3 linked regions of the Pelodiscus sinensis genome follow. The protein of the gene in region 3 purifies or fractionates together with the protein of the main gene of each other region. This does not show direct contact. Links are inferred from orthologs where the notes say so. Each region holds a gene or a part of one and is shown on either strand. Other genes may lie near its edges.

The links. Proteins that work in one complex are often made in the same cells at the same time.
Region 1: the proteins of TNFRSF1A (region 3) and IKBKG purify together in Homo sapiens (affinity purification with western blotting; 4 studies listed by BioGRID, with this or other methods). This does not show direct contact. The link is inferred for Pelodiscus sinensis from reciprocal best matches to the Homo sapiens genes TNFRSF1A and IKBKG.
Region 2: the proteins of TNFRSF1A (region 3) and CHUK purify together in Homo sapiens (affinity purification with western blotting; 3 studies listed by BioGRID, with this or other methods). This does not show direct contact. The link is inferred for Pelodiscus sinensis from reciprocal best matches to the Homo sapiens genes TNFRSF1A and CHUK.

The regions. Positions count from the first base shown.
Region 1 is NW_027465910.1:86,339-94,081, forward strand, and holds the start of IKBKG (NF-kappa-B essential modulator), read right to left. Parts: upstream 3,016-7,743; 5' UTR 2,885-3,015; intron 2,861-2,884; exon of another isoform or gene 2,669-2,860; intron 2,346-2,668; 5' UTR 2,336-2,345; coding exon 2,152-2,335; intron 1-2,151. Other genes in the region: G6PD (glucose-6-phosphate 1-dehydrogenase), read left to right, coding at 3,450-3,564, 5,295-5,434. UniProt on the Homo sapiens protein: Regulatory subunit of the IKK core complex which phosphorylates inhibitors of NF-kappa-B thus leading to the dissociation of the inhibitor/NF-kappa-B complex and ultimately the degradation of the inhibitor.
Region 2 is NC_134718.1:7,059,417-7,066,353, forward strand, and holds the start of CHUK (inhibitor of nuclear factor kappa-B kinase subunit alpha), read right to left. Parts: upstream 3,016-6,937; 5' UTR 2,958-3,015; coding exon 2,835-2,957; intron 2,448-2,834; coding exon 2,353-2,447; intron 1-2,352.
Region 3 is NC_134711.1:141,515,974-141,523,211, reverse strand, and holds the start of TNFRSF1A (tumor necrosis factor receptor superfamily member 1A), read right to left. Parts: upstream 3,001-7,238; 5' UTR 2,858-3,000; coding exon 2,819-2,857; intron 1-2,818.

The DNA.
Region 1 (7,743 bases), on a different chromosome or scaffold from region 3:
CCAGATTTGCTCCCCGCCTCCCTCTGGGAGCAAGGAGTAAGTTTGGTATGGGGCAGAGAAAGATCTGGGCAGGGCTAATCTGAAACGGCTCCTGAAAGCAGCAGCCCATTCCTCCTCCAGCTCTGCCCCCACAGCTCCCAGGGCACAGGACCCACAGCCAATAGGAGCTGGAGCTTGTGGTGGGGAGGTGTGTGGAGACCCACAGCAGGGCAAGCCCTTGAAAGCCAGAGGAAAAGGTCAAAGGGGCAGGATGCAGCCTAAAATTTGCCCATCCCTGTTCTAGACCATCCTTGCAGGCATTTGTCTGACATGCTCCACAACGTCTCTGGGCAATTGATTACAGTGCCACTCTGACCGTTTTCCCTCATGTCCAACCTAACCCTGCCGATCTGCAGTTTAAGCACATTGGTTCTTGTCCCAGACGCAGAGGCCAATTCTCCCCTCCTCCTTGCAACAGCCTGTCATGTCCCCTCTATCTCCTCTACAAAGTAAACAAGCCCAGGGTCAGCCTTCCCTCAACAGGCTGGATCCCGGCTGCTGCTCTGCACCATCTCCAATGTCGCCATATCTTTCCCGAAATGGGGTCTTTTTGACAAGACTCCTGGATGGCATTGCAAATACCCTGGCCCACAGCGCCCACTCAAGGGGCCAAGCCTCCCACACGAGTCTCGCTGGGCTGGATTCCCTGCAGGGAGCCATGAAGAGGGACTGTGGTGACTGGCACCTGCAGGCCCAGCCTCGGAGGCCAGAGGCCTCCCCTGCAATGGTGCTTGGGCCCAGTCCCAGGCAAAAGGCAACTTCCCAAGAAAGAGGTGCAGGCTAGGTCATAGACCGGACTCTGAACCTGTCAGCTGCCTCCCCCTGCCCCCCCCCCCCCCCCGAGCATGACCAGCAGGGAGCAGCACCTACTTTCCCATACACACACACACACAGGGAGCAGCCACAGCCCCTGCTCCTCCCCCCCCCCACACACACGGAGCAGCCACAGCCCCCGCTCCTTCCCCCCCCCACACACACGGAGCAGCCACAGCCCCCGCTCCCCCCCCCACACACACAGCAGTTCCAGTGCCCACTTCCCACCACCCACACACACACACACACACACACACACACACACACTAGCTCCAGCGCCCACTCCCCGCCATAAAAACACAGGAAGCAGTTCCAGCACCCACCCTCATACACACACAGGGAGCAACCACAGTGCCCCACCTCCCTACACACAGCACAGCTCCAGCACCCACTCCCCCCATACACACACAGAGGAGCTGCCCCACTCCCCCCCCAATGCGCACACAGGGAGCAACAGCAGCGCCTCACCCCATACAAACACAGAGAGCAACTGTAGCACCCCACCTCTCCCCATCCACACACACACACACACACACACACACACACGGAGCAACAGCAGCGCCTCACCCCATACAAACACAGAGAGCAACTGTAGCACCCCACCCCTCCCTATACACACACACACACACACACACACACACACAGGGAGCAACTGCAGCACACCCACCCCCATACACACAAACACACAGGGTGCAGATAACAGCTGTAGCACAGCACTCCCCCTCCACAGGGAACAGGGGGGACGGATAACTCAGTGGTTTGAGCATTGGCCTGCTAAACCCACCGTTGTGAGTTCAATCCTTGAAGGGGCCATTTAGGGTTGGAATGTGGGAGGTGGCTCTAGGCTGATGCAGGGGGTTGGGGTGTGGGAGAGAGCACAGGCTCTGGGGCTGGGACCCAGGGGTTCAGAGAGCAGGAGGGGAATCAGGGCTGGGGTGGAGTGGGGCTCAGGGTAAAGATTTACAAGCAGCTCCCAGAAGCAGTGGCAAGTCCCTCCTGTGGCTCCTATGCTGAGGTGCTGGCAGGAGGTTTGCGCTGCACCCACAGCCCCCACTGACTGAGGATCCTGGCCAAAAGGAGCTGCAGGGTTGACGCTTGGGGTGGGCGCAGCATATGGAGCCTCCTGACTGCCTGGAGGTGCTTCCTGGGAGGCTGCCCGAGCCCCACTGGACCCACGACTGGGCAGTATGGCTTGGTCAGCCAAGCAACATGCTGCAGCCCAGGTCCAGGTTGCAGGGAACTGGGCCCCAGCCACCCCTTTCAGTGCTGTACCAGTCCAGGGTACTCATTCATCCTCACCTTTCAGATCCTGGTTTTCCAGCAGGAAGCGCTGCAGGGCCTCATGCCCGGCCAGCTCAGGGGGTAGTTGCCAAGCCGCCACCTTGCCAAGGGATGAGTCCTCACCAAGAGCACTGCAGTCACTGCCTGGGCACCCGCCTGGCTGCACCATCTCACAACTCCGCCGTTGCCGGGTCCCGTTCATCCAGTCTAGCCTGTGAAGAGACATGGCACTATGAGACCTGGGAAACGGAGGGTCCCTGGGCTGGGGAAGGGGGGGGACTGATGCCCTGTCACGAACTGGTGCATCTGAACTTCACCAGCTAAAGTGACCCTACTCAGTTTGGTCTTGAAGGGAACAGAAAAGTGACAAAGCAGAGGATTGTATTCCCCTTGTAAGAGTGCACGTGAGTTCTACCATCCTGTGGTAACCCTGTGTGTGTGTGCCTCAGTTTCCCTGGGCTCTGCACCAATCCCTGGATGGGGATTTCAGGGTGACAACCTCCCTCATGTACACACTGGCTGTGATCCTTCGTACCCCGAGCCGGCACGGGGAGGGCATGGCACCTTTAGCCTGGAAAGCAGGGCAAAGGCCGGAGGAGGAGCTAGGACCAGGCTGCTGCGTGGGTTCGGGGGTTGGGAGGGGGCGGGGCCCTGGCCTGGGCTGTCCTGGCTGATCCTGGTGCCGGTGCTCCCACCGGCTGAGCCCTACGCCTGGCGGGCGGGGGCGGGGGCGGGGCCGGAAATCCCCAACCTCGGCGACAGGAGAACTCGGACGCCTGGATCGCGGTTCGGATACTCGTCGCCCCCGGCTGCCACTTCCCTTTTCCGGGATCGCGGCCTTGTCTCCCCCGGAAGTGCTTCCCCGGGACCCGGAAGCGGAAGAGACGTTCGTAGCCTAGAATGGCGGGGATTGGCCTGGGCAGGGATGGGGAGCCGGGCGGGGATTGGCAGGGGCGGGGATAGGGAGCCGGGCGGGGATTGGCCTGGGCAGGGATGGGGAGCCGGGCGGGGATAGGGAGCCGGCGGGGATTGGCAGGGGAGGGGCGGGGATGGGGAGCCGGCGGGGATTGGCAGGGGAGGGGCGGGGATGGGGAGCCGGCGGGGATTGGCAGGGGCGGGGAGGGGCGGGGATGGGGAGCCGGCGGGGATTGGCAGGGGCGGGGAGGGGCGGGGATTGGCAGGGGCGGGGCGGGGATGGGGAGCCGGGCGGGGATTGGCAGGGGCGGGGCGGGGATGGGGAGCCGGGCGGGGATTGGCAGGGGCGGGGCGGGGATGGGGAGCCGGGCGGGGATTGGCAGGGGCGGGGCGGGGCGGGGATGGGGAGCCGGGCGGGGATTGGCAGGGGCGGGGCGGGGATGGGGAGCCGGGCGAGCGTTGGGCCGCCGGCGGAGCGCGATCCAGACGTGGGGAGCGGTGGGGGAGCGCGGAGCGGTGAGGGCCGGGCTCGGGTAGGGGGCATGGTGTTGGGGGGCTGAGCTGGGGGGCCGGGCTCGGGTAGGGGGCATGGTGTTGGGGGGCTGAGCCGGGGGGCACTGGGGGGCCGGGCTCGGGTAGGGGGCATGGTGTTGGGGGGCTGAGCCGGGGGGCACTGGGGGGCCGGCCTCGGGTAGGGGGCACGGTGTTGGGGGGCTGAGCCGGGGGGTACTGGGGGGCCGGGCTCGGGTAGGGGGCACGGTGTTGGGGGGCTGTGCCGGGGGGCACTGGGGGGCTGGGCTCGGGTAGGGGGCACGGTGTTGGGGGGCTGAGCCGGGGGGCACTGGGGGGCCGGGCTCGGGTAGGGGGCACGGTGTTGGGGGGCTGAGCCGGGGGGCACTGGGGGGCTGGGCTCGGGTAGGGGGCACGGTGTTGGGGGGCTGAGCCGGGGGGCACTGGGGGGCCGGGCTCGGGTAGGGGGCACGGTGTTGGGGGGCTGAGCCGGGGGGCACTGGGGGGCCGGGCTCGGGTAGGGGGCACGGTGTTGGGGGGCTGAGCCGGGGGGCACTGGGGGGCCGGGCTCGGGTTGGGGGCACGGTGTTGGGGGGCTGTGCCGGGGGGCACTGGGGGGCTGGGCTCGGGTAGGGGGCACGGTGTTGGGGGGCTGAGCCGGGGGGCACTGGGGGGCCGGGCTCGGGTTGGGGGCACGGTGTTGGGGGGCTGTGCCGGGGGGCACTGGGGGGCTGGGCTCGGGTAGGGGGCACGGTGTTGGGGGGCTGTGCCGGGGGGCACTGGGGGGCCGGGCTCGGGTAGGGGGCACGGTGTTGGGGGGCTGTGCCGGGGGGAACTGGGGGGCCGGGCTCGGGAAGGGGGCACGGTGTTGGGGGGCTGTGCCGGGGGGCACTGGGGGGCCGGGCTCGGGTAGGGGGCATGGTGTTGGGGGGCTGTGCCGGGGGGAACTGGGGGGCCGTGCTCGGGTAGGGGGCATGGTGTTGGGGGTCTGAGCCGGGGGGCACTGGGGGTCTGAACCGGGGGGCACTGGGGGGCCGGGCTCGAGTAGGGGGCATGGTGTTGGGGGGCTGTGCCGGGGGGCACTAGGGGGCCGGGCTCGGGTAGGGGGCACGGTGTTGGGGGGCTGTGCCGGGGGGCACTGGGGGGCCGGGCTCGGGTAGGGGGCACGGTGTTGGGGGGCTGAGCTGGGGGACCGGGCTCGGGTAGGGGACATGGTGTTGGGGGGCTGAGCTGGGGGGCCGGGCTCGGGTAGGGGGCATGGTGTTGGGGGGCTGTGCCGGGGAGCCGGGGGGCACTGGGGGGCCGGGCTCGGGTAGGGGGCATGGTGTTGGGGGGCCGGGCTCGGGTAGGGGGCATGGTGTTGGGGGGCTGTGCTGGGCGGTTGGGGGACCCCGGGGGGCTGTGCTGGGGGCATTGGGGGGCTGTCCTGGGGGAGGGGCCCCTGGGGGGAAAAAGCCAGACTGCTCAGGGCCTCATGGGACCCAGAAGTGACAAACCTCCAACCCCCTGGTCCCACCCGGGGCTTCTCTTCACCCCCACCTGCTGCCGCCCCATTTTCCCCCATCCTCGCTCAGGGCCACTCTTCCCCCACAATCCCATTTCCCTTCCCCCACCATGGGGCTCTGCCCTGCTGTTGGCCAAGCAGAGACTTGTCCCTGGCTGCCTGGGGCTGGGGAGGGAGCCCAGCCTGGGTCAGCCCTCTGAGGCAGGCGGTTCACATGGTCTCTCTGCTCTAGGGAGCAGCCGTGCCAGCACCATGGCCTTTCCACAGGAGCTGAGTCGCTCACAGGTGTGCGGGATGATGCGGGAAGAGCTGTGCCAGGACCAGGACTTCTTGCGGTCTGACACCCACATCTTCATCATCCTCGGGGCCTCGGTGAGTCCCCAGTCAGCCAGGCCATGCCCCATGTGGGGTGCCTGAGCTGGGCCGTTCCTCTTGCACCCTGCTTTGTGGACAGGCAATGCTGTGGGGGAACAGGGAGTTCCCTGCAGGACCCTGCACTTGGTGAGGGGATGGCTAAACTAATCTTCCCCACAGCTCTGCTCAGCTGCCAGATTCCCCTGAGCTCCTGCCTCCCGTGGGCTCTGCGGCTCATGCCTCCAGGGCGAGGCAGGAGTTGTACCAGGGGCGATACTGAGCACTGGGAGCTGCAGCCGAGCCATCCCAGCTACCATGACTGGGCAGAGTGACTTAACTTCCTGCCTGGTGTTGTGTAACCTGGGCGGGCAGCACTTGCCTCCAGTGGGGGCGGGGGGCCACTAATCCCTGATGGGTTGAGCTATGTGCCCTGTCATGGGGCCACCCAAGGCCTGGGATGGTGCTGGTGCTTGCCATGGGATGGAGTGAGGTCAAGCCCTGGCTTGGCCAACCCTTCGTTTATATTCCGTGAGCAGTAGTGAGATTTCAGCAAGCAGAGGTGTGTGATTGACACCGTCTTGTTGCTCCCAAATCCACCCACTACTCTGAATTTGCCCTGACACCCCAGAAGCCTCCCAAACTGCCTCTCACCATAGTCATCCCTTAGGCCCTGGAAACCACCCCGGTGCCCCTCAAACTCACAGAAACTGCCTCAGTTCCCTCCCCAGAACTTCAGCATAACCCTTTTCTACCCTGCTTCCGGTTGCCTGCCTGCTCTGAGGGGTCGCAACATGTCCCTCCCGTTGTGGGATCTGTTGCATTTGGACAAAGGGAAGTGCTGGGCACTGCTGAGCAGCTGTGCCCATGGGGAACCACAAGATAAGCAACGTGGGGGTGGTCAGAGGAGACCACGGCTGCTGGAGCCACTCCCATGCTGGGGGTGGCTGGGCAGTGTCCTTGTGGTGGGGGTGGCATGTGGAAGCCCCCTGCTCACCCTAGCTCCCTGTAGCTGAGGAGAGTAATACACACAAACACACCTTTGCTAGCTTCGCTCACCCACCCTGAGACATCTACTTCAATGTGCTTGTGTCTCAGGCCAAAGACTCCCCCACTTGGCCCCGGGTTCCCCAGGCAGGCGGCCAGCAGAGTAGGCAGCAAGAGGCGGAGAAGCCCTGATTTTGCTTGAGTTGCTGCCGCTGTCTGCACGCCCCACAGGTGCATTACTGCTGGTCTCAATTTCTGGGGCTTTGGTTCCCACTCTCTCCACCTTTCTCCACAGCACAGGAACCCATCTCCCCTTGACATGCTGGTCTGATGCAGCCTTCTGAGGCTTTCTGTGCATTTTCCTCCAGCCTGGGAGTAACTTTTCTGGCTCCTTTCTCCTCTCCATCCTTTCCACTTTTCTCCCAGCCTTTATGAAAGGCAGCTACCCAAGTTGGGTGCAATTCCCCATCTCTCATGATGTTTGGTTGGGTGGCACAGCTCCCTCCCTGTTCTGCTCCTGGCTGCCCTGGTGATACACCCCACAAGCCTCTTTGGCCCCATCCCAGGTCTAGGATGCCACTAAGTCCCCTAGAGCCTTCTTAGAGTCCCCGGCTCTCTGGAGCACAGCCCCAGGCAGTTGGTGTTCCTTGCTCCTAGCAGTCCCCCACACATCTCCTGGCAGGGCCAGACACCCCAGGCACTCCCCCAACCCTGCCTGCAACAGAGCAGGAGAGTGGGGAAACTGAGGCACAGCGATTCAGTGGCTAGGCTCAGGTCACACAGGGCGACTGACCCCAGAAGCCAGCTCCCTGTTTAAATATAGGGGTTGTCCCAGCTCCACGTGACTTGGGTTCACCTCAAGTTGGCAGAGCTGAGGCAGAGAATCCTGGGTAGGCACTGGGCCCTGTGAGCTGTGATGGGAGCTGCTGCGGTCTCTCTGCAGGCCTGTCAGGGACAGCACAGGCTGGATGCCTGGCACCTGCTCCCCCTCCCCCAGCAGAGGGAGGGAGGAAGGAGAAAGCCGCTTATCAGCGTTTGTGATAGATAAGGAGCTTCCTGGGCTTAGGCAGAAGGCCAGTGGCCTGGACCTGGCTGTGGGAGGCAGGGCAAAGAGCTGAGGAGAAGATGGCGTATCCCTTTGGGCCAGGGAGTGGCAAACACAAATGTCCCTGTATCTGTGGGCATGGCTCATTTTCCCTGCTCAGCCATTCCCTGGCCTGCAGCAGACTGTGTGGTGTGTCCCCAGGCTGGTATGGGCTTGTTGGGCAGTTCCCCCCCCTTACCATGCAGCGTGGGGCTGGCACATCCCTGTAGTGTGTGTCGTATCCCTGGGCTGGTTTGAG
Region 2 (6,937 bases), on a different chromosome or scaffold from region 3:
AATGGAAAGCATGACGAAAATCTTGATACAGGTATTTCAGAAGATCAACAAGCAGATGAATCAATAAAATGTGTTTCAAATGTGAAGACAGAGAGGGCACATCTACACAGCAGTGCTAAACTCGAAATAAACGACAACTTGAGCTTTGCTAATTGAGTAGCTTAAGTTGAAATAGCTTATTTCGACTTTTAGTGCTGTCTACACAGCAGTTATTTTGAAATAGAGCACTCTTCCCCGACCTCCTTTACTCCTCATACAATGAGGTTTATCAAAGTCGGAGTAAGAAGCCTATTATTTCGATTTTATTTCAAAATAACGGACTTCCTGTGTAGAAGTGCTCTGCATTATTCAAAAATAATGCTGCTGTGTAGCCTAAGATTTCTTTTCCCAAAACATTTAATGTTAGAAGCATGATGGCCAGCACATAATTGTCAACAAGTTTACTCCAGTAAGTTACCCAGGGGCAATAAACAGAATTCAGATTTTCTAAGAATAGGCAGATCATGGATGAGTCGAAAGAATCTTCAGGCTAAGGATTGGAGTGGGACAAGAGTTTTGGGTTCAAATCCCAGCAGTAAAGAATATTCCATCCTGGATGAAACTAACATATGAACTAGAGCTAAACTAAAGCTAGGAACTGGGAAGGTCCCCTGCTGCCAAGGGCTGAAATGAAAAAATGTCACTGGTCACAAAAAAGTCAGATTTTGTGACCTCCATGACAATCGTAGCCTCAAATTCAGGCCATTAAGTTTCACCTCGTTACCTTTATATTTAGTCCAATGACTTGGGTTCAACTAAACTGTTGTGACCCACAAGCAGATGGGAGAGATGGAGGTGGCACAAATGCAGGAGGCCCCTTCAACAGCATGAAATTGATTAGTAGAGCCCTATGCCTACACAAATGTTTCCACAGATGCAGATATCTGCGGATAGACATCAGTATCTGCTGACCTGAAGGGCTCTACTGTCAAGAGGCAGTGTGACTAAAGGAGAAGAACATGGTGATTAAACAGTGGAATAAACTGCCTAGGGAGACTGTGGAATCTCCATCACTGGAGATATTTAAGAGAAGGTTAGATAGACTATCAGGGATGATCTAGATTGGGCTTGGTCCTGCTGTGAGGGCAGGAGACTGGACTCGATGACCTCTCAAGGTCCCTTCCAGTTCTAGTATTCTATGATTCCATGGTCCCATTGCTCCTAGGAGCCAGTGCCCTGCGCCAGCAGCTCGTCTCAGCAGTGTGATTGTACGCCCCCTCCCCCAACCCTGCCATCTTCTGTCTGAGGTCCTACAGCCCCGCTAGGGGTGGTACTGGAGACAGTACAGCCACATGGCAGGAAGGAGTTGTTGTCACTGGCTTCTGGGAATGACAAGATGACCATGCTCCTCTCTTTGGTTACAGTGCCTCTTGGGAGTAGAGCTCTACAGGTCAACATATGCCAATGTTGATCAGCAGATATGTGCATCCACAGACAGATATTTGTATCCCCACAGGGCTCTACTGATTAAGTTAGCCATGGCCATATGACCCCTGAAAGTGAACCATACCCCATACCATCCTCCCTGACCCCAAATCTGGCAGTCAGTACGACAAGATTTTTTTAAGACTCCAAACAATGGTAGTTGCCCCACTTCTCAAGTAAACTGTTCCAATGCTAGGAAACCTTGTCTCGTTTCAGGATTGAATTTGTCCAATTTCAGCTTCCAGCTCTAAGACCCCATTCTCTGTTTACCAGGTTTAAAAAAAATCCATTTTGAGCTCCCTTTTGTGTTTATTAGTGCCTAGATGCATTGATCAAGTCACCTCTCAATGTTCTCTCTGATATTAAAGTAATCAAAATGCAAAACCGCCAAAAGTATTTCTATGAACCCGTCTCACAATGTTCACTTCTGTGCCAAGAGCAAACAGACACACCTCACTGCCAAGCGTAGTTTTCCCATCAAACTGCAAGACCACGAAAAGAAGAGCTTTTTAAATGTATCATAATTACAGTGTTTTCCCTTTATGGTATCAGTGTAAAACTGTTTTTAAAATACAGCTCTTTCCCTGGAGGCTAACGATAACCTTCTTTAGAACAACAAATAGTCTGGTTGCAGTTTAACAAAACATGTAGATGGCATCACACCACCACCTACATGTTTTGTTAGTCTTTAAAGTGCTACCAGACTATTTGTTGTTTTTTAAGTTTCCCCTGTACAGACTAACTCGGCTACCCCCTGAAGCTTGAGAGTGAATAAGACCGAAAGAAGTCTGTAGCTAGTGACATCTCTGAAGGGGAAACGCTCCCCCGTGGATCTGAGAACACTGCCTCCCAAAAGCAAAAGACAAGGCCATGATGCAACCTACTTACTTCTTCATTATCTGGATTTCATGGCACCACCGGTCTTTGTTTTTGGTGCTGAGTTCCAACCGGCAAGATTTGATGGCGATCTTGTCACCCCGCTCCTGCAACACAAACAGTCACAGGTGCTGCGGCCCCAGCCGGGTTGCAAGAGGCTGGAGCAGAAGGGCACGGTGCGGGGGGGTCAGTGTCGGGCCAGAAAGCTGGGGGACGGGAGGGGGCCAAGGGGGGGTTAAGGGGGGGGTCAATCCATTAGCCTGATCCCAGTGACCAGCCCCAAATACCCCCCCTCCACACAGATCCCCCCCCCCGCTGCACACGGGTGGCGGTGCGGGGGCAGGAGCCCCTGGGAGGAGAGTGAGCGGGGGGGGGGAGGGGTTACCCAGCAGGCTTTGCGGGGTGACCCGGCAGCGACGGGCCGGGCTCCCGGGGGGGCGGGGCGACTGACAGGGCGAACCCGGGGGGGAGGGGTCGGCGCCGCCCCCCCGCACCTGGTGCTGGTAGAGACAGACGTTGCCGAAGCCGCCCGTCCCCAGCCGCTCCCGCATCTCCCAGGGGCCGCAGCTGCCCGCGGGCTGCCCCCGCAGCGCCGCGCCCACCGGGGGCCGCTCCATGCCTCGCCCGGGCCCCGGCCGCTCGCCCGGAAACCAGCGCGCGCGTCACTTCCCGCCGGGCGGGGGCGGGGAACGGCGTCGCTCGCGCTTCCCGCCCCTCCTCCTCGCCAACGGCCGAGGCGCGTGCGGGAGCCCGTGGCCCCGCCCACCCGACAGCGACGAGGGAGCGCGCGGTCCGCATGCAGATCAAGCCACGCCTCCCCGGCTGAGCCACGCCCCTCGGCCTCACCTCCCTGCAGGGGCGGGGATGTGTTGCAGCACGTGCCCTGCGCGTGGCGCCTGGAGCAGAGCTCTGCGGGAGCTTTGCGGGGGGGGGCAGCGCCACCCATTCCTCCCCCCGGGTAGGCTTGGTAGGACTTGATTTGTATCAGAGCCTGTCAGCTTCCCCACAGCTGGAAAAAACATCTGCATCAGTTACAGCCCCAGATTACAGAGAAGCAGCAACTCAGGAACATGCCACGCCATTTAAGGGTACTTGTTATAGTTTGGACAGCGTGTGTTTACAAGGCAAAGTGCTTTATAAATGTGTCTGTCATTAAATAACTGTCTGACCCCCTCCCATAATTTCCTTTAACTTAAAACTTAAATAGGTAAGAATCTAAAAAATTGCCTTAATTAAACATGTGTCAAAATTTATTGTAATAAAAACAAATTCTGCCAAGTCCCTTCATGAACAAAGTAACCAAAAACTTCATAAAGGTACAATTAGGGCTACTCAGATGCAGTCCTCACTTTTCATTTTTAAAAGTCATTTTACTATGGAAAATGAAATGTAAACTAGGCAGCACTACCTTACCGCAGATGCCATACATTCAGGCTGCATCTAGACTGGCAAGTTTTTCCGCAAAAGCAACTGCTTTTGCGGAAAAACTTGCCAATTGTCTACACCGGCTGCTTGATTTTGCACAAAAGCACTGACGTTCTACTGTCCGAAATCAGTGCTTCTTGTGCAAATGCTTTGACGTTCCCGTTCGGGCAAAAGCCCTTTTCCAGAAACATTTTTGCACAAGAGGGCCAGTGTAGACAGCTAAAAGCTGTTTTGCGCAAAAAAGCCCCAATGGCGCAAATGGCAATCGGGGCTTTCTTGCGCAAAACTGCGTCTAGATTAGCATGAACGCTTTTCCGCAAAAAGTGCTTTTGCAGAAAAGCGTCCGTGCCAATCTAGATGCTCTTTTCCGCAAATGCTTTTAACAGAAAAACTTTTCCGTTAAAAGCATTTGCGGAAAATCATGCCAGTCTAGACGTAGCCACATGGTTTTGCATCACTGCCTTCATCTCTTCATTTTAAGTACAATTGTATATTACCTAACGGTGGCTAGTAATTTGGACACACTATATAGATAAATAACTGGAGGCACATGGAATCTCCACAAATATGAAACTCCAGATCTCATTCCGCAAATGGACAAAAGAAAGGAGGGGCTTCTGGTTAAAGACAGGACTGAGTCGGGAGATGTGTTCTGTTTTTGCCGCCATGCTGCTGCCCAACCTTGTGCAAGTGACTTCACATTTCAATCCCTCAGTTGCCTCATCTTTAAATATATATTCCTCTTTTGTAAGTGACCAAGAGCCACAAATAAGCTCTTAAAGAGCTTAATGTTATTTTACTAAACATTTACTTTAAGTTAGTAATTCATCATTTTTCTAAGCCAATATCTTAATGCCAGCTCCCCTCTGAACTGCTGTAAAAGTGCATCTCTGATGGGTATATCAAATATATATTTTATGCTAAACATGATAAAAGTTATAGGAAAAACAAATTTTCCAAACTGCAAGGGAAGCACCTGGAAGCAGACTGGGACTCAGGAGGGGTCAGAGAGAGCTTTGGATTCAGGACCAACCCGGATGGACTTTCCTGTAACTCTGTTCCCTTGTTTACCAAGGACTTTCTTCATTGTGTTCCTGACTATTAATAAATCCTTCTGCTTTTTACAACACTGTCTGAAAGTCACTCCAGATTAAGGAATTTAGGGGTGCATTGCTCCACTTGGGTGTGCAAGTTTTCCCCAAGAGTCCAGTTCAAAGAGACTCACTGAGGGGAACTTAGGATGTGAAACTGGGGTACTGAAGGCTCATAGGTTTGGGCCCAAGAGGCAAGATGGTAATATAACATTGCAAATACACAAAGTGCTATTATTGTGCAATGTCAGGCCCAGCTACCATAGGATGTGAATTAAAGAATTAAGTTTTCATAAATAGACTTTTATTACAAACTCATAAAACCAAAAATAACTGTAACTGAATGAAACTCTACAAATACAGGGAAAATAACTTTTGAAGGGGAAAGAATAGCCATTCTCATGTCACACACACAATGTGTCTCATTCATCAGCATATATGCAGTTCTGACTGCGTGTACTCTCCCTCAGGGTGATGTGGTAGAACTGCAGTAGCACAGAAACACGTGGAGAATGTGGGGGCAGGAAGTGTAGAGAGGTCTCAGAATGCAGTTATCAATAGACTGCAACGGGAGGCAAACCAGGGTTACTTGCACCTGAAGTCTCCAACATGTCCGTCTGGCGCTGAGCGCGCTAACATGAACTGCTGCACGTTTCTGTCCTTTTCTTCTTTGTTTCTCCTCTCTGCACTAACCCTTTCCACTCGCCCCACAAAGGTGCTTCTGCAAGCCCTCTACTCAGTGTGTGCAGCACCAGAGGCTGGCAGGATCTCTTGGAACAGGTTGACCCCACATCCCTTTTCTTCTCCTGATCTGAGCTGCTCCAGTAGTGTGGATGGAGGAACCCTCAAAGCCACATTTCCAGCTGCAAAAAGCACAATGCACAGAGATATTATTATGAGTGTTTTCACTCCCCTTGAGCCACACAAGCCACAAGTAGGGATGTTAGTGTCTAAGCCGAATAACTGTTTACCCGATTGTTAATCTATAAGCAATTGCCTGTCCCAATTAACCACAACACACAAACACTCTCTCTTTCTCTCTCTCCTTCCCTCCCTTTAAAATTTGCACCAGCAGGCTGGTTCAGTCCCAACACACTGGTCCGAGTTTTAAATGAAGAGCCCGCAGGGAAGCTGCCTGCCACACTGTGCTGCTGCCTCTAATGCAGAGGCAGCAGCATGGGTCAGCAGGCAGAAACTGGTCTATGCAGAGAGCTGGTTTAAAAAACAGCTCCCACCTGCCTCTCTGCACTGTTGACACTGCATCAGAGGTAGCACCAAAGGGTGTTGGCAGCCCCTGTCCACAGAGGGCCTGAGCTCCCAGCACGAAGCATCTTTATGTTTGTATGCTGAAACCAAAGTAAAAGCATAATGAATTTGCACATCTCAGCCTGCTGAAAATCATGCCCTTATGCTTCCCAGTGCACAGGGGGTATTAAACTCTTGCATTCCTTTAAATAGTCATGCAAACATATTTGTGCCACTGCCCAGAAGCTACCCAATCATCTCTTCAGGAAGACCAGGAACTTCCTATACTAGAAAAAAACCCACTATTGATACTCATTGTCTGGTTTTATTCATGGAATCTAGCTGCTTTATGAAGTCTTATATTTTTGTTCCCATTTCCTCACCGGAGCTCCCTCTGAGCCAGACCGAGTAAAGACTCAACTTTGCTTGAAATCAGGCTTCTTCTCTGTGTAATGCTGATCAGGCAGCTGCATGAAGTCAAACCACCGTGTGTCGGAGTTAAAAGAAAACATGGACTTTATTTTTTAGCTTGTCCCTACTTCTGCCGCAGATGTGGTTTCCAAGGAGTAATGGGTCCGAAGGACACAGCAAGCTAGTCTGCTGCTAGTTATTTATTGATCCAACAAGAAGAGCAGGAACTATTTAAGCTCTATCCAGACAAGGGAACCCAAAAGCTAGTCAGCTGGCATAAACTGGTACTATTCCACTGAAGCAAATAAAGCTGCACCTGCTCTTCCAACAACAAATTCTGTTGATCTCAGAGACATGACTGGCACACCAACAAAGACTTCTTTCTTATATCCACCCACCACAGAAAAGTCCGGCTCTCTCTGACT
Region 3 (7,238 bases):
TCTGACTAGTGTCAGGTGATTGGGATTAATAAATAAAGTTTAGTTTTGTAATAGTAGAGTCTAGTAATTGATTACTTGCTTCCCCTCCCACCCACTTCTGTATGAGAGGCAGCAAGTGGAGGGAAACAGAAGCCAGTGCAAATTGTATCGACTACATTATCAGTCAGTTACCTGCCTTTTAACTTTCCTACCACACAAAGCCTCCTTGACACTCCAAGACTCACCCACACCACTCCTACTCCAGAAACAATCCTAAGACTTCAAGAATCCGTTCTGGAGACTTAACACAGATATCAGAAACACCTGTTTGATTCTTTGTACACTATCTTTAGGGATAAATAAAAATAAATAAATCTGCTTAAAATCGGCTTACTTTCTCTATGGCCATTATTTACTCTATATTAGTCATCTGTTTTTTCACTCCACTAAAAAGGTGTGTACTTAATTTTTAGCACATATGATTAATTTTTTTTCCTCTTTTAAGAATGCAAATTGATTTTTCTAGTTATTTTGGCATTTCTGTTTAATGATCACAATTATGCCGGGGACCCACTAACACTGACTCTAACATTACTATCAGACTGGGAACCTCACTTATTTTCATACACATTTTAAGTTATTTTCCAGATATAACTAAAAATGCAGATTGCAAATAAATGATCTTCATCTGCAGTAAGGAGTCTAAAGCTATGTGTTTAGCTTTTTTTTTTTAAATAAAAACTGGCACTGCTAAGGTGAGTACAAGCTACATTTGCATGCTAGAAGGGTACTATTATTTGTCTGTGCCACTTTAAATAATTAATGACAAAGCACAATAGGATAATAAAAGTGATGATAATGACTCCAGCCAGGACAGGTTATAAGCTTTAGAACTCACTACTCAAAGAATTAAAAATAAGCATGAGAGAAATAAAACTATGAAATTCGCAGACTTGTCAAAAACTAACAACAGTACTTAAATCCTTGACAAATTTTGTAAGAAGAAAATACAGACAATATATGTACATTGTGCATTTCAACGGGAAATATCAAGACATAAAATTATAATAATAATACAAGTGTGTTAAAGTGTGTGCGTGCATTGGGGGAGTGTATGTGGGAAACTGTGTTAGCATAGGAGTGGGGGTGTTGAGGAGCATGGTGAGGGGGAGACTGTGTGTGTCTGAGCTGAAAGCCATTCATTCAGGAGACTGAATGCTTGTATTATACAGCAGTAGCTGCAGCTCCCACTTCTGAGCCTGAGGCACCAGCACAGACAGGCTCCCTTTCTCTCCCCCATCCCAGCTCAGCAGAGACCCACTCGGTTATGGTTATCTCTAGCATCAGGTGAGCTCACCTGGCTCCATGCAAGCCATGAATCAGCTTCCAAAAGAAAAGAAGACTACCAGGGCTACAGTGGCAGGCTGGGTGCCCAGCTCTGAGAGGAGTGCCTAAGGAAAATTTTAGGATAGCTATAGCCACAGGTAAGCTCTCCCCTAGCACCTCTCTATTGGGAAAACTATAATGGTGCAAAACTTGTGGGGGAGGGAGCAAGAATCCTCCTCCCTAAATGGTGCCCCTGGGAATGGGAGAGACACAGGAGATTACTGACAGGAATCACAACACAACATCCTTTATCAAAATTTGTGGAACTGTGGAGTATTGGCTAAGTAGATAGTGGGAGGACTGGAGGAGTATGGCATTTGCAGAAAGCAGAGATGTGCAGGAGTGTGGAAGTGGCAGGGAAACTTCAGGAGAAGCAATTGCCTTGATTGCTGGTTCAAGTGTTACTTCCTGTGGTAAGATAGTGGGAGAAAGCAACCTCAGGTTGCATCAATCCAAGTAGGCTAACCTTCACTCTCCCTTGAGTAAGGGAACCTCAGCAGCACACATGCAAGCTCTAGGTCTGCCATCACTTATCAGGTGAGTGCAGGTTATTGTAGCTGCGTGGGTCCCAGGATATTAGAGACAAAGTGGATGAGATAACAGTTTTTACATAACCAGTTTATGTTGGTGAAAAAGACAAGCTTTCAAGCTGAACAGAGCTCTTCCTCAGGTGTAGGAAAGGTAGAAGAGCTCTGTGTGGCTCACACATCTGTCTCTCAGCAACAGAGAAAAAAGTATTACCTCAACAACCTTGTCTCTCTATAGAACTCATCAAGTTCAACAACAAAGAGGTCCAGGAAATGTGGTTGTGGGTTGCATCCCCTCCTGAGGCATCCTCATTGGGGGTACAGCTGAGGCCCAGGCCAGCTGGGGTGGGACAGGAAGGGAGCACAGCCAAACTCTACTCCTGGCCCCGGGGCCTTAGCTGCCATGCCTGTGCCCCACGAGAAGGGGCCCTGCCACTCTGAGTTCGTCCCCTGCCAAGTCTCCGCTCCTGGCCCCAGCCTCCTCTCCCTTACGGAGCCGCACCCGCCCTCTTCCCGGAGCCATGGTCTGTGCTCCCAGTCCCAGCGGGGGGGGGGGGGGGGCAAACAGGGATAGGGGGGGCACGAAGGAAAAAGCGTGGGATAGGGGACCACTGTTCTAGGGACTGGCACCAGCGGAGACAGCAGCTCCCAAGAGGAGGCAGATATCAGTCCAGTAACAGCATTTCTACAGAGCGGGGAAAGGAGACCTGCCGAGTGGAAGGGACTCGCCAGAAGAGACATCAGAAACTCAGGGGGCCTAACTCCCACTCTCCTCCCACCAGACCCAGCTACACAAGCCAGGAGACTTGGCTCCCAGTCAGCAGCCAGAGCCCGCACCACTCCCAGCCCCGCGCTCGCATTAACCCGCACCTCCAGCCTGGGGACTGACGATTGGAATTAGACACTCGGCCCCAAGTGACACTCACCGTAGCCACCACCGCAGGGGAAGGCTCCCGTCGGGCCATGGTTTTGTGGTCTCCTACGTCCCCATGATAGGACCTTCTCCCCCAGAGAAGTCCCCCAAGGCCAGGGGCTCTAGCACCAAGAGACCGAACACAAACTGAAACTAACAAGTTCTGCAACTTCCTGCCAGCAAAGGGCGAGAAAGCAACAGGAAAGGGGGGAGGGGGCAGACGAGGAAGCCGGGCAACAAGTAACTCTACTTCCAACACACAGAATTAACCCTCCCCTACCCACAGGACAAGGACCAAACATTCAGCCCTCACCCCATGCACACTACAACCAACCCCAAGGGACAAAGACCCAGTCGTTTTTAACCCTTCCTTCAGGGTAGCAGACACTCAAATTCCCTACTGACCCTTTGTAAAACTCTATTAAACTTTCTATGAATAATGCTTCATATATATGCCACTAACTGATGCTCTTCATATTATCTAAATATATATTTATATACAGATACTCAGTGCTTTTTTGTGACGGTACTGCCCGTATGCAGTACAGTCAGAGCTCAACAACGTCCCCTGGAGTACCCGCACCTTTTTTTTAAACAAAAAAAGCACTGCAGATACTGTAATAGAGACTAGACTCTTAGGTTACTTTGCACTTTCCATAAAAGAGTCTTGCAACATTTGTTTGAACACAATGTGAACACAACAATAAATGCTGACGTTTTCCTTTTATTTTCACCCTTTTAAGATTTTGGATTAACTGTCATTAAACCACAGTTTGTGCCCCCTTACAGCTGCCATCTGGCGCCCCCCATAGGTTGGCGTCCAGGGCAGCTGCCCAGCTAGCCCATGCCTTAATCCGGCCCTGGTGATCACAGAACTGCAAAGTGCTCAGTTACTAGGCCTGAATCACTGGACTATACTGAGGCGCACACACTCTGGTTCACTTTGGTTGCTTTTGTGCTATTTATCCAAACAAGAAAATTATTTTAATGTTTTTCATTAAGAAATGAGACAGGACCTGCAGAAAAAAAACTAGCATGAGATCCAAGTAATCAAAGACTATTATAAAACCAAAACACAAGGAGGCAGACTTTATGTCTGTTAAACTAACTTCCAAGAGCTTTGCTAGGCAATAATCTTTTAATATATTTTTTGATCTGGAACTACCTATGGCTATATTTAAAAAACAGAAACTAGAGAAAATTGGTAACTATCTCTTCACTATCTGTCTAAACAATTTGGTTAGGCTGTGCAAAAATGGCTAATCATGAAACAGGGTTTCTGTGCTTACAATAACATCAGATGACTCCTGCTTTATTTAATGTGATTTAAGAGAATGAACAAAATGATACAAAGAAGAGCTCTGTGTAAGGCTGGAAGTTTATTTCACTCCCCAACAGAAGTTGGTCCAATCAAAGATATTAATTAAACCACCTTGTCTCTCTAAACTAAAAGAGAGTAATAAAAGCCCATGGTTAAAAAAGAATATGAACACAGCATGGTTTATATGGCTAACTGATAAAGTACTCCCTTATTTAAGTGTTGTCTCTTCCCTTCATAAGTTAAGACAAGGCCCTTGTACAAAAGTTCCCTCCTTTACCCAAATATGTGATCACACCTTCTTTGTCCCCAGGTTTACGATATGCTCAGCCGGAAGGAAAAAGCAGGGTAAGCTCTTCCCAGATTGCACTCAGCTCTGGCAGTAGAGATGGAAAAGGCTCGTTCAGTCTTGTCTAGCTTACCTACTTTTTTTAACATGGCCATACAGGATTGTTTCCCAGGAAAAAAAATCTAATGTACTCATGTGAAGAATGAAGTCACACCCTAATTAAGAAAAAAATTGCCAAGTTTTTCTCATGTCATTATGTTAGTGGATGAGCTTTACCCAGGGTGGATTTGATATAAATCAAATTGATTTAAATCATGATTTAAATCACTAGTTAAAGAAGACTGATTTAATCACAGTTTTCTTCATAAAAGTGCATTCTTGTTAGTTGTCATGACCCCAACATTACCTTAATACATATTCTTCACAATTCAAAGATAGATGTAGGTTTCATTTTTAGAAAGTACACACTATACATTTTTAAATAGTGATTTATTTTGAAAAATTTCAGATTAAATTTCTTAATGTACTTTTAAAGTTATGTCAGAACATGAATGATTGTTTGATTATTTCATTTACCAAAAAGTAATTGAAGCAGATATTTATTAAGTCATTGGGTGGTGAACTATCTCCAATTCAACAGGTTAATCATTCATATTTGGTGGATTTTCTTGCTATGCTATATTAGGAGGAGAACATCACGAGACAGACATTTAAATTGTTTTAATTAACTAAAACAATACTATGTATTCTGGATTTTTTTCTTCAACAGCAAATATATAATATTTTAACAAAACAGGTATATGCTTTTTTGAATTTAGTTAAACATTCAAGTTTTTTTAAATCAAGTTTGTTTTTGTTAAAATTGGTTTTAAATGAAATAGTTAAATGAAATATAATTTTAAACTGAAAATTAAATTAATGTCAGGCAGGTCAACATGAGAAACGTCAAATACTGGTTTCTATTCATGTAACTCTTTGAAACGTTGCACTTTTAGAGAGAGGTAAGGGCACTCTGTGTACACAAATTTGCAGAGGGGCAATAGGGTTGAGGTCAGTTATTTCTCACCTAAATATATTATTTATTTGTTTTAAAACATTTTTGTTATTAACAAGCATGCTAGCTCTAGAGACACAAAACCACAATTTGAGAACTGCAAAACTAAGCATCTCTCATGGTATTTTCTAGACTGAGCACTCAGTCCCATTGGGTAAATAGAAAAACTATCCTAAATAATCTATACAGAAACCTCTGGAACCCCATAAGATGGGGTCCCTAATCCATGACATATTGAAACTCATTTACATAACTTTTCTTAAACATTACATACATTAGAATTTATCATCCTTATTCCATGATATCTTTGAGCTATCTTTTTTTCCTCAAAAAGCATTTTATAAAAAAAATCCGACAAATTAAAAAATCCATTTTTTAAAATCAATTATTTCTATCCACCTCAGCTTTACCCCTACTGATCCTAGATTTCAGCTTCCCGAACCAACAGATGTCCCGAGATCCATGCGGATTTCAAAGGATTCCCTAGAGCAGTGGTTTTAAACTAAGGCTACATGTCCATCTAGAGCCAAGGCCATCCCTTGGGTACAGTAAATCAGAGCAACCACTCCAGGATCCATGATTTGGGAGGCCTGTATTTTGATAAAATCAGAACTGTCACAATATTTAGCTCTTTGTCCCAACCAATTTTTGATTAGGACACCATTTGTCCCAATATTCAGGTGAGCGTGTAGCCAAAATGTAGTATTTTAGTGTTTGTATAAAAGTATAATAAGTATAATGAAGGTATTAAGTCCTATATAATCTTTTGCTTATAAGATCTGCATGCTTCTGTTTCACCCTGCCAGCCACTCTTCAGCTGTGTCTACACTGGCGCATTTTTGCGCGAAGACGGCCACTCTTGCGCAAAAATATGCCACCTGTCTACACTGACCGTGCGTTCTTGCTCAAGTAAACTGATGCTGTACTGTAGAAAATCAGGGCTTCTTGCACGAGAACTCTGACGCTCGCTCTCAGGAAGAAGCCCTCTTGGGCAAGAGTTCATCCAGAAGAGGCCAGTGTAGACAAGCAACATGAATTTCTTGCGCAAGAAGCCCTATGGTTAAAATGGCCATCAGAGCTTTCTTGCGGAAGAGAGCGTCTCCACTGCCATGGATGCTCTTGCGCAAAAGCACATCTCTTGTGCAAAAGCACATGCCAGTTTAGATGCTCTCTTGTGGAAGAGTTTTTCCACAAGAACTCTTCCGCAAAAGAGTTATTGCGCAAGAAGCTACCAGTGTAGACGTAGATTTCATGATTAGCAGGAAGGAATGGCCTGTGCTATTGGTAGATACACACATGGGCTGTGTCTAGAATGAATCCCTTTTCCGTAAAAGGGATGCAAATTAGACACATCGCAATTGCAAATGAAGTGGGAATTTAAATCCCCCCCACTTCGTTTGCATAAACATCGCTGCCGCTTTTTTCCAGCTCGGAGCTTTGCCGGAAAAAAGCGCCAGTCTAGACGGGGATCTTTCGGAAAATAAAGCCTTTTCCAAAAGATCCCTTATTCCTCTTAAAAAAAGGAATAAGGGATCTTTCGGAAAAGGCTTTATTTTCCGAAAGATCCCCGTCTAGACTGGCGCTTTTTTCCGGCAAAGCCACGAGCTGGAAAAAAGCGGCAGCCATTTTTATGCTAATAAAGCGGGGGAGATTTAAATCCCCGCTTCATTAGCAATTGCGATACGTCTAATTTGCATCCCTTTTATGAAAAAGGGATGCAATCTAGATGTAGCCATTGGGTAAACTGATTAGGGCATGTTAAGGCAGGGAGA